Pelodiscus sinensis: one gene and its partner. The protein of the gene in region 1 binds, or shares a complex with, the protein of each later gene. Links are inferred from orthologs where the notes say so. Each region holds a gene or a part of one and is shown in the gene's direction. Other genes may lie near its edges. The genes, in order: CNNM3 and PTP4A3.

Evidence for each region.
Region 2: the proteins of CNNM3 (region 1) and PTP4A3 are in contact, whole or in part, in a crystal structure (PDB 5TSR), measured with the Homo sapiens proteins. The link is inferred for Pelodiscus sinensis from reciprocal best matches to the Homo sapiens genes CNNM3 and PTP4A3. Residues at the interface, in NP_060093.3 of Homo sapiens: Ser357, Asn358, Phe394, Asp396, Lys418, Val419, Asn421, Glu424, Gly425, Asp426, Pro427, Phe428, Tyr429; in NP_001425170.1 of Homo sapiens: Asn5, Pro7, Asp72, Gly73, Ala74, Val105, Ala106, Leu108, Gly109, Arg110, Arg137, Arg138, Gly139, Ala140, Ile141, Asn142, Lys144, Gln145.

What each region holds. Positions count from the first base shown.
Region 1 is NC_134738.1:5,722,704-5,737,547, reverse strand, and holds the start of CNNM3 (metal transporter CNNM3), read left to right. Parts: upstream 1-9,222; 5' UTR 9,223-9,237; coding exon 9,238-10,543; intron 10,544-14,844. UniProt on the Homo sapiens protein: Probable metal transporter.
Region 2 is NC_134712.1:6,588,887-6,604,495, forward strand, and holds the start of PTP4A3 (protein tyrosine phosphatase type IVA 3), read left to right. Parts: upstream 1-9,741; 5' UTR 9,742-9,897; intron 9,898-15,609. UniProt on the Homo sapiens protein: Protein tyrosine phosphatase which stimulates progression from G1 into S phase during mitosis. Enhances cell proliferation, cell motility and invasive activity, and promotes cancer metastasis.

The sequences.
Region 1 (14,844 bases):
CTGGGGGGCCCATGATGGCAGAGCCTGGGGACCCTCAGTCCCTGATCCGCTGGCTGTCGGGCTCTGTCCGTTCTCAGCCAGCGATCCAGGCAGCCCCCCTCTCGTTCCAGGCGCCCACCCGGCTGCCTAACGAGCAGAACTGTGGAGTTCTGGGCTCCGCCGCGCTGCCCGGGGACCTGCCTCGGCGCCAGACATTGCGCCTCACTGGGAATTGTTAATCCCAGGGGAGACGGCTGCTTGGAGCCAAGAGAGCAGAAGCCGGCCCGATCTGCAGGGTTTTCCGGCTTGGCTGGCTTCATCTGTTTCCATTTGCTGACACTAACCCTAGGTAAAAGCTCGGGGGGGGGGGGCGCGTTGGTCTGTCAGTGGAAAAACTTCAGCAACAACGAAGAGTCCTGCAGCACCTCAGAGCCCAGCAAGCCATGGCGATGGGCTCATGAGCTTCTGGGGGCACAGCCCCCGTCTCCAGACGACCGGAGTTATTAAAGGTCCAGTTTCTAAATAAATAGGCGATGGGGGGGGGGGGGAGGAAGAGTCAATGTCAATAGTCTCTGTCTCTAATTGACTCCCCTTTTTCTGTTTTTTCCTTCCCTCCCCCACCTCCATTTATGTAGAAACTGGACCTGTAATGACTCCGGCCATGGGCAGGGCAGTGCCCACGAAGGCTCGTGCTGCCGCCTGCTTGTCTGTTAGTCTCTGAGGTGCTGCAGGCGATTTGTTGGTTTTTACGATTTTCCTAAGTAAATGGCTGTTGCACCTGACCCGTCGGGGGGGACTGGGGATTGCTGCTTTGAGCCGGGGTCTCCAGCTGAGATTGCCATTGGCTGCTCCGGGGTGGCCGCAGGCTCGGAGGTCAGCACCTGCGACGTGCCAGCAGGGCTCTGGCTGTCGGGGTGGGGAGATTGGATCAAATAAGCGGCCGGGCTGCAGCTGTTGCTACGTGTCTGGAGCTGTCCAGCTCTCGGGGGCCTCCCCTGGCCCCTTTGGCCTCCCTTGTCTGGGGCTGTAGACTCGCTTTAGAAGTAGCCAGGCCAACTCTCAGGGATGAACGTGGCCTGAGCAGATGGGATAGGGGAGTCCGAGGCAGCAGCACAGACGGTGCTTTTGTGCTATGGCCTTGCCCGTGTCCTGCCACCACCTGCTCAGGGTTAGGAGGATCGGGCTTGGGTGCCCACGCCATTGGCGATCCTGTGCGGCTGCTTCGGAGCTCTGCCTTGGCCGCTGGACCCTCCTCACGAGGGAGGGCTGGCGGCTTAGTCACTCCTTAAACAGGCCGCGGCACGCCTTGCTGCTGGGTTCATTCTGCTCAGTGGCCGGTGTGCACAGAGCGGGTGTCGCACACGGACGTGTGACCTGCGAGGCCCCGGCTCGGCTCTGGGGCCCTGGGCCATGATCTGGGACTAGTGCAGGGTTGGTTTTGTTTGTTTGGTCAGAAAGCCCCATCTGCAGATCCAGGCAGCCTCTGAATTTCCATCCGAGTTTTGGAAATTGTTTTCTCATGGAAAAAATTGCTCTCTTGCGCCTCACCTTTCAAGCTGGAATCATTCCAAGCTGGAGAAACGTCTCCCTTCAGAGCCCCGGCCGAGCGCTCCTGGGAAGTGTCTTGTCACCGTGGGGTTCGTGTAGAACCTCCCGTCTGGGGTGCAGGACTCTCCGATGCCAGGCAGCATCTGCAGCTCAATGGAAACGGAGCCAGTGTGGCTTCCTGACCCACCTTTTCCAGGCTAATTACAGACCTTTGGTCCTCAACATCTCATCACCATTCATGGTACCCGGCATGAAAATGGGAAAAGCTGCGAGTCCCCCCCAAGCCTCTTCGCAGGGCACCCCAGGGTGACGGGTAATTTGGGCCATTAGGGTGAGCAGCTCTGGCGAGGGACTGGTGCAGGGAGCTGGTCTTTCGAAGGCAAACAAGCCATTTTTACATAGTCACTCATCCGGGGAGACGCACCCCGCAAAGCCGCTGCGCACTCCAGCTTGGTTTCCACAGGAGCCTGAATTTTCTCAGTCGTGATCACTCTCTTGCTGAGACCCCATCTCCGGGTATGTCTGCACTACAGAATTTTGTTGGAAAAACAGTCGTTTTTCCTACAAAACTTGAGGAACATCCACACTGCAATTACGTTCTTCCGCAGGAAAATCAAAAGAGCAGAGGGGTTAATCCTCCTTCTACGAGGAAAAAGCCTTTTTCCCAAAGAGCCCTTTCGCAAGCAGCGTGCGTGGCCGGGGAAGAGGGAGCTCTTGCGGAAGAAGAGGAAAGAGGAAAAAGCACAGGTGCCCTGCTGGACACTCCGTCCATAGCAGGGAGCCTCCATTCGGTCTTGGACAGAACCTGCAGGCCTGAGCCTGTGGGGAGGCCTCTAATGCAGACTAATAGGGTGGGAGTGGGAGGATCCCAGGGGAATGAATGTGGCCAGGTTAGAGGAGAAGCTGGAGGGGGGCAGGGTGTTTAAGTCCCTGATTGTGCAATTGGATGCAATGGAGGTGGCCCTGGGACCTAGGCAGAGCCCATCCAAGTAGCAGAAATACCTCACGAGCCGCGATCCACCTGTGGGGAGCAGGGTTCAGGATTGGGGCCAACCCGGCTCGCTCCTCAGCATTTTAAAGGAACACTCCAGTGACCGGACTTCTTGCCCCCATTTCCCAGTTCTCCTACTTGCAGAATTGGCTTTGTACGTCTGTTGCATTCCAGCGGCAGTGTCCGTGGAAAGGCAGGGGCTGAGACACACTGTGCACCTCCAGCCCCCCTTCTGGAGACGTGGGGCAGCCCCCAGCAGGGGCCAAGGCACAGACACAGCTTGCACAGTGTGGTGGTGTTCCTGGGAATGTCTCCCCTGCCCATGGACAGGCTCTTGTTGGCTGTTGCTTCGATCTGGTGGCGCGAGGTACTTTATTGCAGACAGACGCCAGCAGCTCCCAAAGGGGGTGACTTGATAGCGGGTTGTGGGGAGCTTGATTCTCTAAGTTACACTGGTAATGAGGAGAGACGCTCGAGGTTTTAAAAGTCCATGTTTTCAAGAAGGAATGTTGATCTCGGCGACGCTTGGTTGAGAAAAGCCAGTGGGTCTTCTGACACCGCTTTCTGCCGTCCCTCGTGGCCGTGCGGGCGCAGCCCCCATGCTCCTGTCACCTGCCTCGTCAGAGGGGTGTGGGCAGCCGCTCTTCGACTGCGGACTTATGGGGCCAGTCCAATGAATGACAAGAGGCAGGTTTCTCTTTCAGTCCATGTGTCCTTGCTGTCCCCTGTGGGAGAGCAGGCAGGGACCTCAGAAGCAGTGATGCTTTGATCGTGTTTTGGGCCAGCTTGGCTCCAATCCAGCAAAGCATCCCCTGTATTCAGAGCTGCCCCTGGCTATGTGCTTCAGCCCCTGTGCAGTTGGGGGGAGTAAAGCACATGGCCCGTGGAAGCCGACCCATTGGTGTTTCCCTGCATCTGGGCTGCACGCACCCCTGGACCTGCTTTGGCTGGGGGGCGTGATCTGCTGACATTAGAGGACTGACTCCAAACCCATGCTGCTGGGAGAGCAGACTGGAGTGGCCCCTCCTGTCCTTGCTGATCAGAGTCTAGGCCTGTTAGGAGGGGCAGTGGGTTCTGTGCAAAGGCCCAGCTGATGCTCTCTGGTCACTTTCATGAGTCCTGTTGAGCTTTTCTCCAGGGTAGTCCATGAAACGCTGCCTAGCCTACCCCTAGCAAGGGCAGTGGGTTTGGCAGCTGCTGCTGGCACTGACGTGCACAACACCCGGACATGTGCCAGTCTTGCTCAGTCCTTTCCCCACTGGCATCGCTGGGTGAAACCCAGATCAAGACGCCAAATGCCCTCAAACGTAGCGGCCGTCCCATAGTCTGTGGGTCTGATTCTGCCCTGCTTTGCATGCAGACAGGTACAAAGTGTTGCATTCGGATGCGGGTGCCTTCTCTACTCTTGTGCACCAGTGGGAGTGTCTCACACATCCTCTGCCGGGACCTTTAGCTCCTCTCCCTGATTCCTCTGGCTTTCCTCCCCTGCCAATCAGCAATAACCCTGCACTGGACTCCCCAGCATCCTGGCTTTGCATAGCTGAGGGGTCCAAGCGCCGCAGATGGGCCGTGCCAGGGAGCAACTGACGAATATTTATTTTGCCCCAGAGGTAATCTGTACATGTTTGTGATTCTTTGGGGGCCGTCGTTTCTCGGACGATACTTTTTCCATTGGTCTGAGTTGTGCCCTTTTGGGAGGGGATTTTGTTTTGTTTCATTTCTGAGTCTGCGTCTCTGTTGCTAAGAAATGATATTTGCTAAACGAAATATGGAATTTATTTTTGATTGAGTAATAAAATCTCTCTCTCTATTCCCCTCCTGCTGTGCTCTGTGCGCCCCCAAGATTCCTTCCCACCCTGTAGGCAGAGGGCAGGAGGCAGAGCCTGCATCTGATTTCACAGGCAGTGGAGAGCCTGTTCCCGTTTAATCGTTTCTGGTCACATGTGGTAGGAAGCGAATGATGTCATGTCACAAGCGCTGGCGTTTTGGGCCAGATCCACAGTAGATGGAAGCTGCTGGGATTCCCTTGAAGTCAGTGACGCTCAGCCCTGTGCTGTTTTCGTGTCTGTATTCAGCTCTAGGGGACAGGCCACCCGCTGAGGCAAATGGGCCATCACCCCGTGGGAGTCGATGGGCCAGATCCCAGCTGGGGTCCATGCACATAGCCCCACCCCCCTCAGCAATGCTGCTTTACCTGGCCCTTGGAGCTTAGTAGAGAGATGAAGTGGGAACTGACCGAATCCAAGTTTCTGATGTTTGTTGAGTTCGGGAAAGAGAAGACACGGGGCAGGACAGCAGCTTTCAAGCACCTAAAAGGGTGTCACAGAGAGGAGGGAGAAAACTTGTTCTCCTTGGCCTCAGGACAGGACAAGCAGCAATGGGCTTAAACTGCAGCCAGGGAAGTTCAGGCTGGACATTAGGAAGAACTTCCTGCCTCTCAGGGTGGTTAAAACTGGAATAAATTGCCTGGGGGGTTGTGGAATCTCCATCGCTGGAGATATTGAAGAGCAAGTTAGGCAGACACCTGTCAGGGATGGTCTAGATGGAGCGTGGTCCTGCCGTGAGGGCAGGGGACTGGATTCACCGACCTCTCGAGGGCCCTTCCAGTTCGAGGATTCTGTGATTCACTGATATTTGCTTCTTCATTTTCCATTCGCCCAAGCTGGTAGGGCCTTGGTTGAGTGACAGGCAGCCGCCTCCAGAGCTAACCTGCTCCCTGCCCTGCTCCTCAGCACCCAACCTGGCTCCAGGCGCTGCTAAGAATGCAAAGGGACAGGGCAGAGTTTGGGTTCTAAACCTACTTTACAACTAAAACAAACCCTCATCTTCCTGCTCTGACTGTGGGGGCTGCAGCATGGGGCTGCTTTCACCAGGGCCTGCTCCGTTGCTGCCTGGGTGACTGGCCAGGGCTGGGGGCTGTGTGTGCAGTGCCCTCGAGGCTTCCTGTGTAAGACCCCAACAGGAAAAGCAGGTTCCGCACGAGGCCCTCGAGCCAGATGGAGTCAGAGAAAAGGCCCGTTTAGCTCTGTATTTTCTTTTCCGACAGTGGCTGGTGCCAGATGCGTCAGAGGGAATGTACAGAACAGGGAAATTGTAAGTGATCCACCCTGTTCTCCATTCCCAGCTTCTGGCAGTCAGAGGTTAGGGACACTCAGAGCTTGGAGTTGCATCCCAGGCAATCTTGGCTAATAGCCATGATTTTCCTTTTTGAACTCCGTTAAAGGTTTGGCCTTCACACTATCCCCTGGCAAGGAGTTCCACAGGTTGCCTGTGCCTTGTTTGAAGTACTTCCTTATTTTGTTCTAAGCCTGCTGCCTATTCATATCGTTGGGTGAATAATAATTCCTTATTCACTTTGTCCACACCAGTCATGATTTTATTGATTTCTATCACGTCCCCCTTAGTCCTCTCTTTGCTGAGCTGAACAGTTCCAGTCTTTTTAATCTTCCCCTGGCATGGAAGCTGTCCCAGACCCCCTAATCTTTGTTTGCCACCCTTCTTTATACTGTTCAAATTCTAATCAATCTTTCTCAGATGAGGCAATGGGAACGGCACACTTTATTCAAGGTTGGACTCACAATGGATGCCTGTGTCCTGGGGCTGCTCATCGATTTTCTACCCTGCCTGGCTTCTGCTTTCTAGGCATGAATGTCAACATTCCCTTTCTCCCACTCCCCTCGAAATAGCTGCCTTGACTCCCCCCAACCCAGGCTGACTTCTTACCCAATTCCGCCTTCTCCCTTGTAAATGGGCTTGAGGCTTTCTTGTGAGCTGGTAACATTCCCATGATCATTCTTGCTTTTCTGAGTAAATCCTTCCTCCCAGCTGATTTGGCTCCTCATCCGTTCCAGCCTTTTAAAGCACCAACTGCGTAGATCACGGGGCTGGGCTTCCTGCTGTCTGCAGGCTAACCATGGCCAAGGGGAAAAGGAGGTGAGATCCTGCCCTTCTGAGCCCCTGGGCCCTTCCAGGTTGCTCAGCTCTGCCTTGGGCAGGGAGAAGTTCCTCCAGTCCCGGACTCAGGCATGGGCAGGTCTCATGGCCGCTGGATACTGGAGGATGGGGGACAGGGCTTGGTTTGCCTGCACAGCCAGGTCTGTACCTCCCCCCACAGGCCCAGCGGAGGCCCCTGGATGGTTCACACCGTCCGGCCAGGAGCACGTTGGCCTTTTTTCGCCGCCTCCGAGGGCTCCAATTCAACCGGCAGCTTTTTCCCTCCTGAGAGGTCTGCGAGAGCTCACTGAGCTCCAGTGTTCTGCCAGGGCCTCCTCCGGCCCTCGACGCTCTTCTCAGGGAGCCCCTGCTACACAACCTGTCTTTGCAGGCACAGGCAGCAGAGTCCCCCTCGGTGTGGCAGAGACTGGTCCTGGCAGGAACCACCAGGGCTCCTGGACGTGACCGAGGGACTGGGTAGATCCCAAGTGCTCAGTTGCTGCATGGGGCTCTCCGCCCTTCAGAGCCCCCACACATGCCTCAGAAGGTGCATGTCCCTCTCTCGTTTTTCTACAGCGGGCCCCATGGGAGGGGACGTCCTGCTCCCCCTCACTGCAAGCTCTCCAGCCTTTTTCTTGGGCCCCTGTTCCGCGAGTCCTCTCCCCCCCCCCACACACACCTGGCTTCCTCCCCTTTGCAATCCCAGCCGGCTGTGAGACCTGCACCCACGGACCAAGTGTGCACACGCTCCATTTCCTGACCCTCACGTCCTGGCCCAGCCCCAAGTGGCGGGATTGCTACCCCCTGTGGAGGGTGAGGACCCCCAATGGGCCAGTCTCTAGTCCTCCCTGATTCCACGGTTGGCCAGGGATGTCAGTGGGCAGCTTCTTCACAGAGCCACGAGCACGGGCGTGGACCGGGCACGGTTCAGCCCCATCCCTGAGGCCGGTCCCCTTAGAGGCGTGAGGTAGAAGCTGGCGCCCGCCTACCTCTGGTGCATCAGGTTGCAGCCCCTAATCTGTCTCCTCCTGCTGAGGCTCTGGCTGCATCTTTCCCTGCCCCTCATTACTTCTGCGCCCTCTACGTGTGGCCCCACAAAGCCACAGGGCCTCCTTGCCAAGGCCACCAGCAGCAGCAGCAGGAGGAGGATGCTGCGCAAGGAGGTGCTCAGGGACGGTGGGTCCTGTTTCCACTCCTCCCTAATTTCATGTATCCGGGCGGAGTTCCCCAGGGCAGTGTCCACTGGCTGCCCAGATGACTTCGAGGATCAGTGGGCGTGGCTGGGGTTCCCCCTTCTGGATCCCTCGCTTTGAACCTCTACCCAGCTGCCCTGAACCTGCTTGTCATTAATTGGTCCCTATATTTATTTGGAACATGGGTCCAATGGCCCTGCCCACAGTGCTGGGGGCGGGGCCTATAGAAGAGGGCAGGTGCCCAGGATTTTCCAATAAGGCCCCTGGATACAGGCAGGTGCCACCTGTCCAGGTTTTTTCAGGCTTGTCCCTTTTTGAAGGGGCTAGTTAGATGCACGGTGCAGCCCTTGGGGGGAGGCTCTGTACCCTCTGACCTGCTGTCCCATGGCTTTGGGGGGAGCCTTGCTGTGCGCTGCCCTGTACGTGGGGGCTCAGTACCCACTGCCCCACAGGTGTGGGGGGACTCTGTACCTACTGCCAGGGGGAGGCCCGGGGGGGCTGCCCCATTTGTGGGGGGCTTGGTAGCAGGGATGTTAACATATCTGTGTTTAAACAATAAGCCTGGGGTTACTGGTTAATCCTAACAACTCCACACCCCACCCCTGCTGCCTCCCTGTCAGTGGCAGCAGCACGGGGCCAGGCCGGAGCTGATGCTCACCGGGAGCCAACTTAAAACCTAACGAGTGTGACACACACACCCCCCCCCCCGGTGTAAATGTAACTGCTGGAAATTCTACAGAAAACCACAATCCTTAGCATCCTTGTGGCACCTGCTGCCCATGGGGGTGGGAGGGGCTCGCTGGGCGCTGCCCATGGGTGTGGGGGGCCCTCTAAGTGCTGCCCATGGGTGTGGGGGGGGGCTCGCTGGGCGCTGTCCAGGGGTGTTGGGGGGGGCTCTAAGTGCTGCCCATGGGGGTGGGGGGGGGCTCGCTGGGCGCTGCCCATGGGTGTGGGGGGCCCTCTAAGTGCTGCCCATGGGTGTGGGGGGGGGCTCGCTGGGCGCTGTCCAGGGGTGTGGGGGGGGCTCTAAGTGCTGCCCATGGGTGTGTGTGTGGGGGGCTTGCTGGGCGCTGTTCATGGGGGGGGTTCGCTGGGCGCTGCCCAGAGGTGTGGGGGGGGCTCTAAGTGCTGCCCATGGGTGTGTGGGGGGGGGCTCGCTGGGCGCTGTCCAGGGGTGTGGGGGGGGGCTCTAAGTGCTGCCCATGGGGGTGTGTGGGGGGGGCTTGCTGGGCGCTGTTCATGGGGGGGTTCGCTGGGCGCTGTCCAGGGGTGTGGGGGGGCTCGCTGGGCGCTGTCCAGGGGTGTGGGGGGGCTCGCTGGGCGCTGTCCAGGGGTGTGGGGGGGGCTCTATGTGCTGTCCATGGGGGTGGGGGGGCTCGGTGCTGGCTGCGTTCACTGGCCCTTTAAATCCAGCCCGCTCGCCCCGCCCCCTGCTTGTTTATGTCCCGGCGCAGCCCAACCTGCGCTTCCCTCGCCTGGGCCCGCCCCCTCCGCCCATTGGCCGGAGCCCACCGGCCCCGCTCCCCGATTGGCCGGCCCCGCGCGGCAGGCGAGGCTGTGCGCGCGCGGGGGGGGGGGCGTCAGCTGACTGGCATGGCGCGCGGCTGGGGGCTGCGCTGGGCCGTGGCCGCGCTGTGCCTGGGCTGCGCCGCGGGGCGCGACGGGCCCCCCCCCTCCTCCGCCCCCCCCGCGCCGCCCCCTCCCCACGTGCTGGGCTTCCGGCTGGAGGAGGGGGCCTGGGCGGCGGGGGGGCTGGTCCGCGCGCGCCCCGGGGCCCGCTTCCGCCTGCGGCTCTACGGCACCGGGCTGCGCAACCGCAGCGGGCCCTGGCTGGCCTTCGCGCGCGCCGGCGAGCCCTGCCCGGCGCGCGCCCTGCACGTGCAGCCCGACGAGCGCGCGCCCGGCGCGCCCGCGGCGCTGCTGGTGCGCGTGGCCGTGTCGCCCGCCGGCCCGCCCGGCACCTACCAGCTGTGCAGCCGCGCGGGGCCGGGCCGCCCGTGGGCCCCCGCCGCGCCCGGCGACGCGGTGCTGGTGGGCGACGAGGGGCCGGCGCCCTGGCTGCTGGCCCTGCTGCTGGCCCTGCTGCTGGCGCTGGCCGGGGGGCTGCGGGCCCTGCAGCTCAGCACCCTGTGGCTGGAGCCCGCCGAGCTGGCCGTGCTGCGGGAGTGCGGCTCGCAGGCGGAGCGCCGGGCCGGGGCCGCGCTGCAGCGGGTGCGCCACCGGGGCGCCCTGGCCCTCTGCGCCCTGCTGCTGCTGAGCACCCTGGCCAACGCCGCGCTGGCCGTGCTCATCGGCTGGGCCCTGCGGGCCCTGGCGCCCGCCATCCTGGCCGCGGCCGCCTTGGTCTTCCTGCTGGCCGAGGTGCTGCCCTTTGCCCTCAGCGCACGGTGGGGGCTCTGGCTGGCGTCCCGCGGGCTCTGGCTGACCCAGCTCTGCATGGTGCTCACCTTCCCCATCTCGCTGCCGCTCAGCAAGCTGCTGGAGCTGGCCCTGCGGCACGACGCCAGCACCTGCCTGCTGCGGGAGAAGGTGCTGGACATGGTGCGCAGCAGCGACCCGTACAGCGAGTTCGTGCGCGAGGAGTTCAGCAAGGGCGCCCTGCGCAACAAAACGGTGGAGGACGTGCTGACGCCGCTGGACAAGTGCTTCATGCTGAGCGCCGGCGCCGTGCTGGACTTCCACAGCATGTCCGTCGTCATGCAGAGCGGCTACACCCGCATCCCCGTCTACGAGGGGGAGCGCACCAACCTGGTGGACATGCTCTACGTCAAGGACCTGGCGCTGGTGGACCCTGACGACCGCGTGCCCCTCAGCACCATCATCAAGTTCTACAACCATCCCCTGCACTTTGTCTTCAATGACACCAAGCTGGACGCCGTCCTGGAGGAGTTCAAGCGAGGTAACCGCCCCAGTGCCCCGGGGCCTCTCTGCTCCAGCTCCATGCAAGGGGGTGCTGTCCTGCGGGGGCACCAGGGGGCTCTCTCCTTGCTGGGCTGGGAACTGTTAACCGGTTACCCAGGAAGCATCACCCTTACCAGGAGATACCCAGGAGCGGCCCATGCAGTGCTCAGGTGGCTGGGTACACAGGAGTTAACTCCTTCCACACTGCTGGGCAGCCAACTTCCCATGTTCCCTGGGGGACGCCCAGGGCTGGCCTCTCTCCATGCACCAGCCGGGTGGGTCAGAGCCGGGACCGACTGCTGCCCCCTTCTTTGACTGGGGTCTGCCCCTGCCAGCGATGGCCGGGCAGGTTTGGCCCTGGCTGGCTCCTTGCTGCCGCTCGTGGCAGACGTGCCCTCCCCAAAGCAGGGCAGAGGCTGGGATTCAGTCGGATTTCCCTACCCAGCTATTGTGCCATCTAGTGCCATGCCCGGAGCCCCGCCCTCAGCGCAGTGAGCCCTGTCTCCCACCTGGCCTGGCCAGGCCAGAGCAGCGGGAGGTGAGGGAGTGCTGCTCTGGAAAGGGAGGAATCTGGTGCCTGGACCTGTGGTTAGCGTCTGTGGGATGCCTGCAGCTCCCGTGCTCTGGCTTTGGCCCTTGGGAACATCTTCCCGGTTCGGTGTCTCTTGGCTTCGGGGGGCACAGCTGGGCAGTGGAGTGAGCACGCTCAGCCCTTGGCGGAAGGACTGTGAAAGCGTTAACACAGAGAGCTTTGCTCCCAAGTGGTTCTTGGGCTTCTGAGTTGGCAGAAGCTAACCAAACCACACAGCCCAATTGCCAGCCCTGCTCCGCGGTCCCCCCATCGCCTGCAGGGGCTGGTGGACACCAATCCGCAGCAAGCCCATTCGCGCTGCCCTCCCCTGATTTCAGTCCAGTGCCTCCCTCCCTCCCCATGGGTCCTGGGGAAGGTCACCTTCAAAGCCAGGCTCTTCCCTCCAGAGGCAGGGAGAGCGCTTGGAGGGCCTGCCCCTGCTGCCATGGAAACGTTTGGCAGGGCCAGCTCATGGCCACAGGGATCTGGCGCCTGCCCTGAGCTCCGTGTTCCTCAGGGCCCCTGGAACCGGCTGCTTCCTTCCTGGGCCTGGAGCGGAGCCCAAAGCCCCTGCCGCTCCGTGTGACCGTGGGCCAAGCCAGCCCTGGGCCGAGGGCGAACCAGAGGGTGGGCAGGGCGGGGCCTGCAGGAGGGTAGGTGGCCCCAGTTCAAGCCAGGCTCTGCCGCTGCCCTGCAGTGACCTTTGGTTGGCAAGGCTGGGGGGCCGGCGGTTGGGACTCCTGGGTTCCCTGGGTGGCTCTGGGGGGCCGGCGGTTGGGACTCCCGGGTTCCGTGGGTGGCTCTGGGGGGCTGGCGGTTGGGACTCCTGGGTTCCGTGGGTGGCTCTGGGGGGGCTGGGGGGCTGGCGGTTGGGACTCCTGGGTTCCGTGGGTGGCTCTGGGGGGGCTGGGGGGCTGGCGGTTGGGACTCCCGAGTTCCGTGGGTGGCTCTGGGGGAGATGGGGGGCCGGCGGTTGGGACTCCTGGGTTCCGTGGGTGGCTCTGGGGGGGCTGGGGGGCTGGCGGTTGGGACTCCCGAGTTCCGTGGGTGGCTCTGGGGGAGATGGGGGGCCGGCGGTTGGGACTCCTGGGTTCCCTGGGTGGCTCTGGGGGGCCGGCGGTTGGGACTCCCGGGTTCCGTGGGTGGCTCTGGGGGGCTGGCGGTTGGGACTCCTGGGTTCCGTGGGTGGCTCTGGGGGGGCTGGGGGGCTGGCGGTTGGGACTCCTGGGTTCCGTGGGTGGCTCTGGGGGGGCTGGGGGGCCGGCGGTTGGGACTCCTGGGTTCCATGGGTGGCTCTGGGGGGGCTGGGGGGCCGGCGGTTGGGACTCCTGGGTTCCGTGGGTGGCTCTGGGGGGGCTGGGGGGCTGGCGGTTGGGACTCCCGAGTTCCGTGGGTGGCTCTGGGGGAGATGGGGGGCCGGCGGTTGGGACTCCTGGGTTCCGTGGGTGGCTCTGGGGGGGCTGGGGGGCCGGCGGTTGGGACTCCTGGGTTCCGTGGGTGGCTCTGGGGGGGCTGGGGGGCCGGCGGTTGGGACTCCTGGGTTCCGTGGGTGGCTCTGGGGGGCTGGCGGTTGGGACTCCCGGGTTCCGTGGGTGGCTCTGGGGGGGCTGGGGGGCCGGCGGTTGGGACTCCTGGGTTCCGTGGGTGGCTCTGGGGGGGCTGGGGGGCCGGCGGTTGGGACTCCCGGGTTCCGTGGGTGGCTCTGGGGGGCTGGCGGTTGGGACTGTTCTATTCCCAGCTCTGCTATTGGTTGACAGCGTCCCGCCCGCGAGTGCAGGTGACAGTCGGGAGCCATGGCGCTAAGTGCTCTGAGCTCCCCTGAGGTGCCGGGGCTGCTCTGTTCTGCCATCAGCAAACCAGCTCTCCCAGGCCAGAGGGGTGGGATTGGCGGCGAGAGAGCGACCTTGTCAGCCTCTCTGCGCTCTGGCCAGAGCCCGACTCGGCAGTCGGAAGCGGCTGAGATGCCCGTGGGGGGTGGAGTCCATGTAACTTGCATCCAAGAGTCTGAAAAGAGCTGGCCCTGGGCCCCGTGGACTCTGATTTGATTTTCATTAACTCGGGGCACTGGGGAGGTTCCCGCAGGCTTGAGGAAAGCTGACGTTGTGCCAGTATTTCACTTGGGTGAGCTGGCTTACCAAGGCAGTCCCGGCACTGCCAGTGTGACGCTGACCCTGTGCAAGCAACCGAGTGGTCGATGCAGACTCGAGGAATAACAGATGAAAGGAAGCTGATCTAATTATTGCCAATTAACATGGGCTTTTGGAAAATCCATCCTGTGGAACTAGCCAGTCGCTTCTTGGGTGAGGTTACGAGTCTGGCTGAAAACGTAGCAGGGTGGACGTAGCGGACGTGCGCTTCTGCTGGGAGGTTGATCTAGCACTGCCCAGCGTTTGGTTACAGACTGGGAGGAGGCGCGATGAGTGTGGCCCATGTTAAATGGACTGAAAGCTGCTAGGTCTTGGGGGGTGAGGTCCTCTCCTACTGGACTCACTTCTGTGGCTGAGAGGGGAACTTGGGAGCTCGGGGCACGTCTTCCCTGCGGGCTGGGCCAATGGGCAGCCATCAGTCCAGCCACTTGCTCCCTGGCCTCCGTACAGCACCTCAGCAGGAAGTGCTGGGGGCGGCGAGAGCGGGCGCAGTGCAGTGCAGACGCTGTAGTAAGTAGCACTAGGGACGTTGACTTTGGCTACACTGAGGGTTGAGTGACACCCCATCGCCGGCCCCAGCGCAGACCTGCCCTCAGGAGTTCCAGGGGCAGGTGGGGTCCCAGCTGGGGGCAGGTTTCCTTTGCAGATGAGGGCTGAGGGTGGTGGCTATGTGAGCAATGTTTGCCCCCCCGCCCCCCCCCCCCCCCCCCCCCGAACAGCTTTGGGGCCTGTTTGGATCAGGACTCCCACCGATCGGACACTGGAATTTGAGATGTGAACATCTGAAATCATGACACTGACCAATTCTAAGACACCGCAGCCGTGAAATCGGCCAAAGTGACCCGTGAATTTGGCAGGGCCCTACCCTGTGGGTTTCAGTGGGGGTGGGAGCGTGTGGCCTGTGGGGGTCTCAAGCTGTAAGCAGGAAACCCTCATTGGGCGGGGGTGTTTCTAGCAGGGGCCTGTAGGGATCACGTTAAGGCTTCTGTCTGTGACCTGGTCAGGGCTGCAGGGGATCCAGACGCTGGGAGAGGGGAACAGCGAGAGGGCCGATACAGAGCAACCTGTTCACTGGCTAGTGGGTGCAAGCAAACAGGATGCGTTTGGCACGTGTCTGGGCGCCTCTAGGGACAGCGGCTGCGGGCCGTGTTTGTGGGGTGGGGTCCTCTGGCCTGGTGGGGGCTGTGCCCCCCACCTCACCTGCACAGTGCACCCAAAGTCGCCCCGCATGGAGCGAGCCATTCGGTAGCCCAGCATGGTACGAAGCCAGACAGGATGGTCCTGAGGGCCAGATCTGGGCTGCAGATGGCCAGTTGGACCCCCACATCCCTTCTGTGGGAGTCTGAGTCCCCTAGCCGGGGAAGGGGGCAGGGCGGATGCCAGCCACTTGAGGGCTCCAGGAACCCACCTGTGGCTCCAGAACCAGTGTCTGTGATGGCTGTCCACTCCCCGCAGTGTAAAGTGGCCCCGTGCGCTGCTGCTGAGCCCCAGCCAGGAGAGAGAAGGCCCCCACAGCGGCCTGGAGGTAAATCGCCCCCGTCGCTGCTGCAATGCCCTGCTGGAAAGGGGGGGGACACGGCA
Region 2 (15,609 bases), on another chromosome or scaffold:
CTGCTCTGCTCTGTGATGATTAGGCATATTAAGTTGGAATATTGTGTCCAGTTCTGGGCACCACATTTCAAGAAAGATGTGGAGAAATTGGAAAAGGTCAAGAGAAGAGCAACAAAAACGATTAAAGGTCTAGAAAACATGATCTATGAAGAAAGAATGAAAGAAGGGACCAGGGGGAAGGGTGCAGGAGCAGGGTGCGGGTGGGTGTCTGGCCAGAGGGAGGGTGCAGGAGCAGAGTGCAGGTGAGTGTCTGGCTGGGAGAGGGAACAGGGACTGGGGGTGCAGGGTCTGGGCACGGAGGAAGCGGGGGGCGCAGGATCTGGGTGGCATTTACTTGATTTTGTGTCTCACACTGCTTTCAGACTCCCTGTCCCAGGCATGGCTTCCCGCTGCTCCATTTACTGGATTCTGGCCAATGAAGCAGTGGGAAAAGCCTCCAGGCAGTGCATCTGTGTGCTGCTGTTCCCCCAGCTGGGGGAGGGGGAAGGGAAAGGAGAGTGTGAGTACATGTTCATAGAGCCGTTTGTGGCTCCGCTTCTTCCCTGATTGCACAGTGAGGCTTCGGGCTTCCTCCACTCTCCTCGCACCTCCTGCAAGAAACAGGTGCTGGCTCCAATCTTGCGGGGGGTACAAGGATGGATCACCAGGGTTGTCCCCCCTTTGCGGGGGGAGGGTAAGTGAGAGGGAGCTGAACTCTAGCTGAGAGCCATCGATTGCCAACCCAGATCTAGATCATCCCTGATAGATGTCTATCAAATCTGACATTAAATATCTCCAGTGCTGGAAATTCCACAACCTCCCTGGGCCATTTATTCCAGTGCTTAACCACCCTGACAGTTAGGAGTTTTTCCTAATGTCCAACTGTCACGGGTTGGGCCCCCCCTCAGGCTTACAGCCCTGTCATCATTGGGGTTGCCTGCCCACGCACCTTCCCCCCACCCGTGTTTCCCTAAGGTCGGTTACGAGTTTCACGTAAAGTCCGTGGCCCGACTAGGAGTCCACTGGGTCCGTGTCTCCCTAGTTGTTAGTGATCTGAAGTGAAAGAGGAGGGGGACTCAGGCCCACCCTCACTCCGGGTCCCGACCCAGGACCCTAAAGGCAGCAGTGCACTGAGGCTGTCTGGTTGGTGGGGATTCCCCCGTAACTCACCAACCCTCTGGGCTTGATTGAGGTGCTGATGCTGCCTCCTGCCCCCGTCCTGGGTCACTTCCTCCTCCTTGCCGGTCTCATTCCGCCCTCGGCGGGTAGAGTCACCTTCCATGCCGCTGGTTCTGCTCCAACCATGCCAGGCTGATCCCCCTCTGCCGGAGCAGAGTCTCCCCCCTTCTGCCCTTTCCAGGCGTCTTTTGAAGGGCCCAACTAGCGTGGCCCCGCCCCTCACAACCGGGCGCCGGCTAATGACGTCTTCGGCGGGGGGTCCCTCGTTGATGACGTCTAGACCCCTGGCGACCCCCGTGAAGGCGGGGCATGTGAGCTGGGGCGCCGCACGCGTGCGGCCATGTCCCCGGCTCCCAGCGCCTTCTGCCGCTGCGGCTGATCCTGCGGCGTCCCCGCCGGCACCTCCCTTGCCCCTCGCGTGCCTGGGAGTGCGGGGTGCCGTGAGCTCCTGGGAGGCAGGAACCTGCACCCCATCACACCAACTTAAAACTGCCTTGCCGAAATTTAAGCCCATTGCTTCTTGTCCTATCCTCCGAGGCCAAGGAAAACAATTTCCCCTCCTCCTCCCTGTGACACCTTTTTAGATACCTGAAAACAGCTATCCTGTCCCCTCTTGGGGTATGTCTACACTACAGAGTTTTGTCAGAAAAGCAGCCCATTTTCCAGCAAATCTTGAGGAATGTCACACTGCAATTGCATTCTTCTGCAAGAAAATCGAAAGAACAAAAGGGTTTTTCCAGCATTGGTAATCCTCATTCTACGAGGAAGAAGCCTTTTTGCAAAAGAGGTCTTTCATAAACAGGCGTGTGTGGACGGGGAAGAGGGAGTTCTTTTGGAAGAAGAGGAAAGAGGAAAAAGCACAGGTGCCTTGGTGGCCATTATGTCCATAGCAATGACAGCTTACATGCGAGAGAGCATCCATTCAGTCTGCACACTCTCTTTCAAAAAAGCAAATAGCTTTTTTGATGCACTTTTGCAGTGTGGACGCTGTCTTTCAGAAGAAGTTTTTTCAGACGATCTCTTCCAAAAAAAGCTTTTTCTGAAAGAAGCCTGCACTGTAGACATAGCCTTAGTCTTTTTTTTTTCTAAACGAAACAAATCCAATTCTTAAAAAAAAAATTTAAAAACAACAAATAGCCCTACAGCACCTTAGAGACTCACAAAACATGTAGATCATATCATGAGCTTTTATGGGCACAACCCACATCTTCAAATGAATGGAGCATGGGGGTCCGGAATTACAAATAAATGACAGAAAAAGAGGGGAACAGGAGAGGGAAAGAGAAGGAAAAAAATCTTGTCAATTAGAGTGTCCATGCTAAATGAGGCTAATAGAGTGGGCTGTAAGTGCTGTACGTTAAGTATTGGGTACCTAACTTTTGATGTCATTAAGGTGTTGAATGTAGCAGCCTATCCAGTTCATGTCTTTGTTCAAACCTTGATTAAAGGTGTCAGATTTTGTCACCATTAATCAAGGTTTGAATAAAGACATGAACTGGTTAGGCCAACTCATTCAACAGGCAAAATTTGGCACGTGAGAGCACAGGGGAGGCAGGCTGGGGCAACTCGCCACTTCTGTGTCCTGGCCAACCGGAGCACAGGGGTGTGGGGAGGCTGGGGCAACGTGTCACCCCAGCCTCACACTTACTTGGAGGACCATGGAGGAGCGGGTTAGCACCCTTTGCGCGCGCGCGCACACACACACACACACACACACCCCGCGTACAGGCCTGGTTTGATTTTTTACCATGGAAATAATATGCATGTCAAATCTGGTTTCACCTGAGGACTTGTTTGAGCTATTCCTTACCCCAGCTTTTGGGGTCATGCTGGGCTTCATATTCCTTACATTTGACTTGTGTTCTCTTTCTTCAGGAAGCCATGCCCACCATCTGTTCTAGTTTGTGGCTTCTACCCCGCTACCAGGCAGCTAGGTCTGCTTCTTCGGACTTGCTACTGTTTTTCTGGGCTGCTTCCTATTGCTACGCCCCCTTGTATTGCTTCCCACTGCCTGTGCTTAACACAGCCTCCATTCACTACTGAACTCATATGTCTTCCATACCTCTTAGGCTCCACTTAAGTGGTTTTACTGGCCCCACTCTATCTCAGGGTCACCCCTACAGGAACCTGACCTGCTCTCAATGGGAAAATCCTGTCTCCTCAGCAAGAAGTCTCTTTCCTCAGTTGTTTCTAGATTCTTATAAGGCCCAAGGGCCTAAAATGAGCTATACATAACTTCACTCCTTCTGGCCAAATGGCAATCAATCAATCAATCAATCAGTCAAATCACGCATGCATTAACTGGCTTTTAACCCCTTCTCTAATAATAACCCCTCACAGTCCCCCAAAGGTTCTACACATTTAGAATAACAATCATTTCCTTTTTCAATTAATCTGTCTTCACGTGCGTGGTTCTCCTTTGAACACACACATTCTGCAAAGCCAACTGGTGTGAAGCCAGTTACATAACCAGTATTGTCACATGTTATCATAGAAGAACAAGAAAGAACATATGCAACATAAGAACTGGCTGGATCAGGCCAATGGTCTACCTCAGGACTACTCAACTCTGGAAGTCCTGGGGGCCACAGTGATACTCACAGCACTTGACGAGGGCCGCAACTTAAGTGTGGTGGCTTATACATGCAACTATATATGCAAATAGATTCTTTCACACTGACGGGCATGAATACAAAGCACTTCCCACAATGCCCCGGCGGGCCGGCACCTCCTCGCTGAAGGTTAGAAATGCCGACACCTTGTACCTGTCTGTTCCAGTCAGTCCGTCCACTTGCATCTTTCAGCGCTCAGACTGCCTGGGCGATGCCTCGCCATTGTGGAGCGTGTTCCCAGTGGAGGCCATATTCAAAAGATCCCACCTATGTCAAGCCCTGCATAAACTCAAACTGCACCACGGGCTGCAAGCAAACAGGCGTGGGCCGCATGTGGCCCATGGACCACATGTTGAGTAGCCCTGGTCTACCTAATCCTATATCCTGTCTTCCCATAATGGCCAATGCCAGGTGCTTCAGTGGGAATGAACAGAAAATAATTAAGTGATCCATCCCCTGGTGCTTGTTCCCAGCTTCCGGCTAAAAAGAAGCTAGGGAAATTTCAGAGCCTGATTTTGCATCCCTGCTAATCCTAGCGAATAGCTATTGAAGGACTTATCGTCCATGAACTCATCTAGTTCTTTTTGAACCCTGTTATAGTCTTGGCCTTCACAACATTCTCTGGCAGAGTTTTGTTTGTTTTAAACCAGCTGCCTATTAATTTCATTTGGTGACCCCTAGTTCTTGTGTTATGAGAAGGAATAAATAACAATTCCTTATTTATTTTGGCCACACCACTCATGATTTTATAGACCTCTATCATATCCCCCCTTAGTCTCCTCTTTTCTTAGTCATCTCTAATCTTGCAACACTGTGATACAAAACCTGCCTCTGATCATCCCAGGCATTGTATGTGTGTACACTCTGTTTCGATTGTAAGCTCCATAGACCACGAACTGGATCCTCCTTTGCATATTGTACGGTGATAGGCATCCTAGAGTTTATACCTGGTCTAGCCATAGACATTGCTACTTGCTAAGCACCAATAGTGTGCTTAATGCTGCACAAAACAGATCAAAAGGCATTATCTCTGCTCCAAAAAGTTCAATATTTAAACAGAGAAACAATGAAAATGATCAGGGAGCACATTGATAGATATTATAGAACAGGAGAAACCTTGAAGGCAGCTTTATCTCAAAATGATAAAGATGTATAATGTAACCTTGAGCAGATTTCTGTGATTCTCAGGATACAAAACAAAAAACAAAAAAAAACTAAAAAAACAACAAATAGTCTAGTGGCACTTTAAAGACTAATAAAACATGCAGTTGAGAACAAGAGCTTTCATGGGCACAGCCCACTTAGTCAGCATATGAAGATGGAGTCACTGGTAGACACATACCTGTGTGCTAGCTTTAATCTAGCTGGTGTGTGCAATAACAGTAACGAAAATACAGACGCATGGGCTTTGGCAGAGGCTAGCTACCACTGTACAATCTTGCCAAGGATGTAGGTATGTGCTTGGGTTGGTAGCCCACACTGAAGTGCATGCTGTCATGTTTTCATTGCTATCTAACCTGCTCTTCAATCACACCTTTGATTTGCTGTGTGGATGTACTCTGTCCTTCATTTGTAGAACCCAATTTGGTGTGAATTTACATATCTTCTTCCAATCCCTTTTTCGGAAGAAGTTTTTTCGGAAAAAAAAGCACCCCCCCCTTTTTTTTGAAAGAACCCGTATTTCTCAAAAATGAGGTTTACAGGGTTCTTTCGAAAAGGGGGGGGGGATTGCATGAAAAACCCCATCTAGACTGCTTTTAAAAAAAAACTCTTCCAAAAAAGAGATCGGAAGAAGATATGCAAATTCACCCCGAATTTGCATATCTTTTGGAAGCCGAGGGTAGTCTAGAAGGTGTGTAAAGCATGTCTCTGGAACTGAGAACTACTTTAATCTGGTTGCATTAGATATTAGAAAAAAATCTTTCTAACTATAAGGTTAGTTAAGTACTAGAAGAGACATTCAAAGGCGGTTGTGGAATCCTTGTCTTTGGAGGTTTTTAAGAACAAACATCTGTCAAGGATGATCTAGCTACACTTAGTACTTAGTGAGTATGCAGGAAGAGAGGGCAAGGGTTAGGCTAGATGACCTCTTGAAGTCCTTTATATCTTTACTTTTGTATGACTTTATTAGTAGATTTACTACAGATTTTCTATATAACTTCAGGTAAGGCACTTAATCCGTCTTGGTGCCTCACTTCATCTCTGTAAAAAAGAGACCATAATACTTCTTTAATGTCTGGGAGGCACTCAGATGCTATAGTGACAAGTGCCATAAAAAACTATCCATCACAAATAAATTAAGAAAGGCAGCTAGTGCTGAAGACTGGTGCTTTGGTCTCATTTCTTCCATTTTATGGTATTTAAATAGCACCCTAGATATACATGGAGATTTATAATAAAAAAGTAACCTATTGACTGCCTAAGACAAGACCCCTGTCCTGAACAGCTAAACATTTGCAGCTTTTAAATCACCCACATCTCCAGGGTAGTGACCACTGATGTAATCTCATTATATCTAGAGAGCATCTGGCTTTTCTACTGTGAGTTGCATCATATTAAATTTGTTGTTTATATTGTTTAGGAAATTCTCCAGTCTTCTTTTAAGTTCAGCTAACTTTATAGCCGTTCGACAAGCTGGCTGACCACTGTGTGAAAAATATTTCCATATGCTTGTCTCAAATTAATCTGTTGTTAATTTCAAGTAACTCATTGTTGTAGAATTATGGAGATATGGTGTAAGCAGGAAAGGATTTTTCTGTTTTTTTGCAAAATGTTGTGTAAAACCTCCGCCCAACCCGGTATAATGTGAATGTAAGACATATAACTTTTAGTATTATAAATCATGTCATTATCAGCCATTGTGAGTGGGGTGGCTCTGTTGTAAGATATGTAACTCTCAGGCTATGTCTAGACTACAAGATTCTTTCGAAAGAGGCTTTTTCAAAAGAATCTTTCGAAAAAGCCTCTTTTGAAAGAAAGTGTCTAGACTGCAACGACTTCTTTCGAAAAAGCGAGCTGCTTTTCGAAAGAGAGCACCCAGGCGGTCTTGATACTCTCTTTCAAAAAAGCCCTGTTTGCAGTCAAGAACACCTTTTTTTGAAAGAGCACTTTCAAAAAAAATACAGGACTATGTAGCACTTTCAAGACTAACAAGATGGTTTATTAGATGATGAGCTTTCGTGGGCCAGACCCACTTCCTCAGATCAAATAGTGGAAGAAAATAGTCACAACCATATATACCAAAGGATACAGTTAAAAAAAATGAACAGTTAAAAAAAAGGCATTCTTCCTTTTTCTTCCTTGTAAAATGAGATTTACCACGGTCAAAAAAACTGCTACGTTCTTTCAATTTAATTTTGAAAGAACACAGGGGCAGTCTAGATGCAGGAGAAGGTTTTTTTGAAAAAAGGCCACTTTTTTGGAAAAAACCCTGTAGTCTACCCACACCCTCAGTTGTTCTAAGTTGTCAGTTTCAGACACGGTGGCTGTGTCTACACTGGGCCACTTATTCCAGAAAATCAACCGCTTTTCCGGAATAAGCTGAGAGCTGTCTACACTGGCCCTTGAATTTCCGGAAAAGCAACGACGCTCTACTGTACAAAATCAGCCGCTATTCTGGAAAAACTATTCTGCTCCCGCTCAGGCATAAGTCCTTATTCCGGAACACTGTTCCGGAAAAGGGCCAGTGTAGATAGCCCAGTAGTCTTTTCCGGAAAAAAGCCCTGATCGCGAAAATGGCGATCGGGGCTCTTTTCTGGAAAAGCGCATCTACATTGGCCACAGACGCTTTTCCGGAAAAAGGGCTTTTCCAGAAAAGCAGCCTGCCAATGTAGACGCTCCTTTTCCGGAAAAACTGAAAACGGAATAGTATTCCGTTTTAAGCAGTTCCAGAAATTCATACCAGTGTAGAGACAGCCAGAGAGTTGCAACTCTCTTATTGTAAGCCATGTAACTTTCATGTAATGTTTCAAGTTCTGCAACTTCTTGCAAGCTTTGTAACTTCACTTGTACAATCTTTAAGGTCTGTAACACTATCCTGTGACAAGGAAGTGTGTGGGTGTGTGTAAGTGGTGTGAATAGTGTAATGTTTGTGCCTTTGTGGAGAAGAGCCATGAGGCTACAGGGAGGAGCCAGAGGCTAGGTGGGTTTGAGGTAATCTTTGCTTGCACATGAGATAGGCAAAAAATGGAGGTGCAGCAAAGATGAGAAGAAGGAAGTAATATCCATGAGGAAAATGAGGTCTGGGCGGGCTTCTCGGTGATGGACACAGACTCTGATAACTCAGACTGTGTCTAGACTGGCCAGTTTTTCCGGAAAATCAGCCGCTTTTCCGGAAAAACTTGCCAGCTGTCTACACTGGCCGCTTGAATTTCCGCAAAAGCACTGACTTCCTACTGTAAGAAATCAGTGCCTTTTGCGGAAATACTATGCTGCTCCCATTTGGGCAAAAGTCCTTTTGCGCAAAAGTTTTGCGCAAAAGGGCCAGCGTAGATAGCTCAGATTTGTTTTGCGCAAAAAAGCCCCAATCACGAAAATGGCGATCGGGGCTTTTTTTGCGGAAAAGCTCGTCTAGGTTGGCACGGACGCTTTTCCGCAAAAAGTGCTTTTGCGGAAAAGTCTCTGTGCCAATCTAGACGCTCTGTTCGGAAAATGCTTTTAACTGAAAACTATTTCCGTATTTCTTACATGAGATCGTCAGTTTTGTTGCAGAAATTCAAGCGGCCAGTGTAGACAGCTGGCAAGTTTTTCTGGAAAAGCGGCTGATTTTCTGGAAAAACTGGCCAGTCTAGACACAGCCTATTAGTGTAACCCTGGGTTGTTCTCCAGTGAAATCAGGTAACACTACCCTTTCTCATCAATGAACACATCAGTCAAGTGACTCTTCTTCATATTTTAATTCTTTTCCTTCCTATACATAGCTTTTGGAATCTCACACAATGTGTAAGTACCTCCAGTCATCTTTGTTGTATATCTCTGAACATTTCATCTCAGTTTAAAGTGAGTTGACCACTGTACTCCAGAAGAAAGATCATTTATGTCAGGCCATTACATACAAACCCTTACCTACCTACTGTTGTCAACATGCTGCCAGCATGCCCACTTGGCGTCTGCTAGCAGGGCTAGAACTCAAATCTTTCAAAAGTCAGTGGGCTTTGAATGATGCCTTTTCTACTTGTGCTAAGCGTGAGTCACCTTCAGGTGCTTTTTGTATAGAACCTGTGACACACAGTTGGACAGTCCAGATTCCCTCCAGCAGAGGGTAGTGCTGAACTTATACATTAGTTAATTCAATAGTTAATTCCAAGCTCTGGGTGTATTTGTAGGGATAGTCCCGTTTTGAGAAATGCGCGCGTGACATTACGCTGTACAATCATTTTCCAACGTGTGATGCAGTTTAACCCCATCTGGGATTTCTCACAGATTCCCTAACTTCTTCCTCCAAGGCACTGAATTTGCAGGTTAGTGTATGAGTTAACCATTGTGTTACTAGCCTGATAACAGCTTACAGAAATGCTCCTTGAACTTGGGGGGGGGGGGGGGAGCACCATAGGTAACACTTGGGATAAAAACTGAATGTTGGCAACAGCAAAACTAGCCTGTAGAAACTGGGCCTATCTTGCAGTTACACAAGGCCTCCTCACCTCCATGCCTTCTTTGCAACCTCAGCACCTTCTGTCCCCCTTCCCCCTTCCCCCTTCATCTTCTCTTCTCTTCTCTTCTCTTCTCTTCTCTTCTCTTCTCTTCTCCCTTTCTGCTCCTGCCTTTTGCTCCCTTCTCACTCCTACTCCTTGTCCCTGCCCCCTCTCCCTTTTATTCTTCTTCCCCCTTGCCCCTCCCCCTCTTACTCTCCTTTTGCCCCTCCCCCTCCTGCTCTCACTCTCCCCCTCCCCCTCCCACGTGACGCCATCTGCCCCCCTCCCCTGCGCCCACCCGCCTCCGAACCAGCGGGGAGGGGGTGGAGCGCGCCGCAGAGGGACTGGGGCCCAGGCGCGTGGGAGCGCGAGCGCGCGCCGGAGCTCCGTCAGCGGTCCAGGGAGCGAGCGCGTGCGGCGCGGGGCGGGAGTGCGCGAGCCGCTGCTGCTGCTGCTGCGGCAGCGCCCTGGCAGGGTCGGCGCGGCGCAAGCAGGTGAGGGGGGGGCCACAATGGGGCGGGGGACCCCCGGGTGCGGGACTTGGGGGGCGCGTCGTGTGCACGCTGGGAACGAGCCCCCCTCCCCGGGCGTGGGCGCCCCTCTGCTCCCCGCAGCGCGCCCTGCCCCGCTCTCCAGTTGGGCACGCCGTGCACAGGGCGCCGTGCAACGGGGCGAGTCGCCGGCAAGGGGGGCGCGCTGCAGCCCCCGTCCTGCCGCTGGCCCAGTGGCTCCCTGGGAGGGAGGTGTCCTGGTGTGCGCCCGGGCGAGGAGCATCCTGCGCGAGGTAGCGTCCCGCCGAACGTGTTTGCGCTTGGAGGAAGTCGGTGGGGCTGCAGCCGCCCCAAGCAGGATGCCTCGCTGCCCTTTCAGCAAACAAAGCGTAGGAATAAACGGTCCGTTTTCCGCCTGGCGAGCGGTAAATAGCAGAGCACCTCCAGGAGCTGGACCGGCCCCGGGCTCTTCAGCTTGTTCACCGATAACCTGGAAAACGGGGCAGGCCGGGTGGTGGCAGCGTTTGCAGAGGATACAGAATGACTTGGTGAAGTCCAAAGCTGCCTGCAAAGAGATCTCGCAAAAGTGAGTGATCAGGCGGCAAAATGGCTGATGGAACTTATCAGCAATACGTGTAAAATCATGCACATTGGGATATAATTTCAGCTCTGCATCCAAAATGATGGAGTCAGGATGTTGGAGTCACCATAGATAGTTTGCTGGATACATCCACTCAGTGTGTAGTGGCAGGCCAAAAGAAACAAACAAGGCTAACAATGTTAGGAACCATTAGGAAAGGGGTAGGTAATGAGACAGTAAAGATAGAATACTGCATGCCGTTCTGGTCTCCTCATTTTTAAAAAAGAATTGGAAAAAATACAGAAAAGGGCAAACAATTACTAGGGGTTTGGAACAACTTTCATATGAGGAGTGACAGAAACGATGGGGACCATGTATCTTAGAACAGAGATGATTAAGGTGGGGGGGATTATAGACTCATGACTAGTGTGAAGAAAGTGGCTAAGGAAGTGTAATGTATCCTTTCACATAACACAAGAATCAGGGTCACCTGATGAAATAATTAAGCATCAGGTGTAACACAAACAGGGAAATACTTCTTCGCACAATGCAAAGTCAACTGGTAGAAATTGTTGCCAGGAGATATTGTAAAGGTCAACAGCATAACTGACTTGATTTTCTGTCCCCTCCCCCTTTGATGACAATTAGCCAAAGCAGTCAGGGATGTAATTTTCTGCTCTGGATTGTCCCTAAGCCTTTGACTGCTAGAACCTGGGACTGGACAACAATTATTATCACACAATAATTGCCCTGTTTGTTCCCTCTGAAGCATCTGACATTAGCATCGTCAGGAGACTGTGTATTAGGCTAGATGATCTGACCCAGTATGTCCATTTTTGTGTTCTTAATGTATATGGGATGGGATATGGGGCTGTATACCAGTGGTCCCCAACGCGGTGCCCGCGGACGCCATAGTGCCCGCTGGGCCATTTGTGTGCCTGCGGAGCAATCTGGGCTGGCCCCTCCCCCAGGCGTGCAGCAGGTGCCAGGCCCGGGCGCATGGCCGGCCCCAGGCGCGCGGCACCTGGGCGGCACCTGGGAAGCCCCTGCCCGGGGTCATGGCACATGCCAGTGCCGGCCCCGGGCATGCTGCACATGCTTGGCCCCACCCCCAGTCACGTGGCCTGTGAGCGGCCCCACCCCTGTACACGTAGCGCGTGAGCGGCCCCGCCCCCAGGCGCTCGGCAGCCCCAAAATGTTGGGGACCACTGCTGTATACAGTACCTGATTTGCAGTGGCACATGAGTAGGTGCTGCATGGTAAAAGTAGCAATGGCTACACATAACTGTCAAGGTTCTAGTTTGCTTGAGTATATTTTGTTGGCTTTTTCCTTGACATTAGTTTAATTTTTAAACAAACAAAGACTAGGCTGGTAAAAGTCCCCAGCATCTCTCAGTTGTCATCCAATTGCCATCATGAGAATGTGTGTTTAAATGTTAGAGACACGTTTCTTTGGCCAGGTCTGCACTACAAACGTATACTAGGGATGGTATAAGAAATAGAAATTTCTTATGGAAAGGTCATAGAAAGGTCAACTAACTGCATGAATTCTTAGTGGTTAGTTGATTTGTCTATAGTCCCCGAGGGTGGGGCTGGAAGCCAGTGCACTCCTGCCCCATTTTCAGGGAGCCCTCTGCCACCCTGCGCTGCTGCTGCCTCTGTATCAAACTGTATCAGAGGCAGCAGCCCAGGATGACAGGCGGGAGTTGGTCTGTGAGGGAAGCCAGTTTAAAACCCAGCTCCCCTTGCAGACTGGCTCCCACCTGGCACCCCGTGCTGCTGCCTCTGATACAGAGGCAGCAGTGCGGGATGGCAGCAGTCCCTGTCTCCCTGTGGACAGAGGCTACTGGGAAGGAGCGGGGGAGGCTGCTGCAAGCAGCATCTGTCTGCAGCTGGCCCAGGCTTGCCATAGAGTTAGACAGAGGCTGCTCTGTGGGATGCGGAACACCTGTAGGCCAGGTGGCACTGCAGAGCCATTGCTGGGAGAAACCATTTTTTTAGACAGCTTCCCCCAGCACTGATTTCTGCTTTCACTCTTCCTCTTCTACCCCCCCCCCCCCCCCCCCGCTGCCTCTGGTGCAGAGGCAGCAAGGGGGAGGTGAAATTGAGTAGTCAAGAAGATTAACCGATAAGCCTAGGCTTATTGGCTACTTGAGTACTCGTTCACATCCCTATACTATAAGCCAGTTTCTGGTGCATGCTGGCTCTGGCTACCGGCTCTGGCTACCAGCCCTGCTCCTGGGGAGCCCGGAGCGTGTTTAACGTCTCAGATTTTTAAATTATGTGGTTACTTTTTAAAAAGGTTTTGTACATCCCTAACATCTACATTGTTATCTACATTGTCTGGGTTATGAATAATCCATCTCCCTGAGCAATAGTTATACGAACCTAACCTCCCCCCTTCCCCCTTTGTAGTTAGCACTGTGTTATTGCTACTGCCTCCTGCAGAGGTGGATTAACTACACGAGGGGTAGGGAACCTTTTTTCTGTCAGGGGCCACAGGCAAAATTAGTTGGGGGCCACATATTGCTGGGGGGAGTTGGAGGTTTGGGGCCAGAAATCAGGGCTTCCGTGTGCAGGATGGAGCTTTGAGCTAGGGCAGGCGCTTGAGGTGAAGGCTCCAGCTTTGAGGTGGGGATTTAGGATGAGGAGTTTGGGGTGTAGGAGGAGACTCAGGGCTGGGGTAGGGGTGACGACAGGGCTAGGACAGGTTGGGGTGCAGGAGGAGGTTCAGAGTATGGGCTCTGGGAGGGAGTGTGGGTGGGTGTGCAGGGTCTAGGAGGGAGTTCGGGTGCAGGAGGTGGTTCTGACCAGGGTCAGAGCGTTAGTGTGCAGGAAAGACGTCAAGGCTCTGGTTGAGTAGCACGTACCTCTGGTAGCTCCCAGTTGGCAGCTCAGCGGGGCTAACCTGTCTGCCCCGCACTCTGCAATGCTCCTGGAAGCTGCTGCCATGTCCAGTCCCTGGGTGGAGGGGCTAGAAGGCTCTGTGTGCACCCATAGGCACCACCCTGCAGCTCCCGTTGGCTGTGGTTTCCAGTCAGCGGGAGCTGGGGAGTCGCTCTGAGATCAAGGGCAGCATTCCGAACTTCCCTGATTTCCCTCCTCTGCTTAGGGGCTGCAGGGACATGTTAGCAAGCCAGTGCTTATGGCTCCAGCCCTGCAGGAAGGGGTGGGTGTGTGCTGAGGCTTGGGGCTTCCTGTCCGCGGTGCAGAGGCTTGTGTGAGCTGGAAGAAATGAAGCAGTGAGCTGGATGTGGCCCATGGACTGCAGGCTCCCCACCTCTGACCTGCACTAACAGGAGAAGCTTTCTTGTTGGTGTAGTAGTGTTTTCACTACAGTGCCATGGCTGCATCGCTCTACATGTAGACAAGCCCTCAGTTTCCCTCCCAAGCCGTGCATTTTACTTAAATTATTACAGACTGTTTACATTTGAATGCCTTGAGTTTATTGCCAAGGAAAATGGTAAAGGAATATGGTGTAGTGGACAAGTTTGGGGTTGAAATCAGGAGTCCTGAGTTCCGATTTCGCTTCTGCCACTGAACAGCTATGACATTTGTCAAGTCACTTATGTAGGAATGCTTTGCCCATCTGCCTTTGTTTCTTTTCTGGTTCTTTGGGGCTGTGTCTATGTCTTGGAGCACATGCGCGCACATGTGTACAGTGTACAATTCTTCCTTCGTGTGACCATCATTTTGGGTCCTAGGTAGATTCAAATTGTTAGCATTGTCGGTCAGACCCTTGTGAGACATTAGGTCTAGATGTTGGTGTCTTATTTCAAAATGCGTGTGGTGTGTATATCTTGTCCAACCAGAATTACTAATCCCTGCAATTAGCTCAGATCTTGGGGTTTATATTACTGTCAGCTTCTAAATCAATTTTAACTTCCCACTCAGAGGAATAGTAATAGAAATGTAGCCGTGTTAGTCTGGTGTAACTGAAACAAAAAACAGGACTATGTAGCACTATAAAGACTAACAAGATGATTTATTAGGTGATGAGCTTTTGTGGGCCAGACCCACTTCAGAAGAACTGAGATTTAAGGGGAATGAATGGGGTATTTTTGTGCGTCTGTCTTTGGTAAACTTGTTCAGCGAGAATACAAGCTGTAGACTTGGTCCACACTACAGACTTCTGTCAGCCCCGCTGTGACAGTCAGGGGTGAGAAAAGACACAATTCATGTTCAATACAGCTGTGCTAGCAGAAGCCCCTAGTGTGGTGACCAGTATAACTGTGTCTAAGCTAAGAGTTCTTTGTCGGTAGAGTATACAGCTATTCCCCGAGTGGTAAAGGGCTCCTACTTTAAACGTAGGCTTATAGGGATGCAGTTATTGATGGCCGGGGCAGTTACACACCACACATCAGTGGAAGCTGATACCTCATGTGTGTAACTGACTCCCCTAATAATATCCCTTACTTTGCAGCCAACTAGGTTTAAAATCTTCAGTACGGCACCTTGATTTGTGTCACGCGTGTTGTATTCTGCAACAGCTGGAATTAAATTCAGAACTGTGAGATTTTACTGAGTTGGGACTCTATGCTGTATTTCACAAATGCTTAATACAGATGTATTTGCACTTTAGCAACTTTTGGCAGCACCTGGCAGTGCATCATTAACCAGCGGAGAAGAATGTGGTAATTCATGCTCTTTTGAGCTACTGTTTCAAGCTGTGTGCTTGCAGTTCAGAAAGACCAGCTGCATCAAGCTAAATTTGGTTGGTTTGGAAGGTTTGTTTCTCAACCATAAGGATTAGACATTTAATTAAAAAAAATTTAAATGTTAAATTCTGGCGTACAACTGAGAGCCAACAGCTGCTTAATCACTTGTTCTCCATCATAGTAATCTTTCCATATCTTTACTCTGTGTCTGCAAAGCTAAAACTTCATTTGTTTTCACTTGCTTATTATTTTGTAAAATTCTCAGTTGGGAGTGTTTGTTTTTTTCCAAGTTAGATGGAAAGTTCCTTTAGCTATTTTACTGGCAAGAGTGTGTGGGTGAACATAGCATCTCAAGACCCCATGCTCATCAATTACCCAAACAGGTGATTAAAGAAACCTACAGAATAGCACTTGCTGAGGAATTGGTCCTTGGAGAGGGAAAGTTAAACAATCATCTATCTCTATGACTGAAAAATC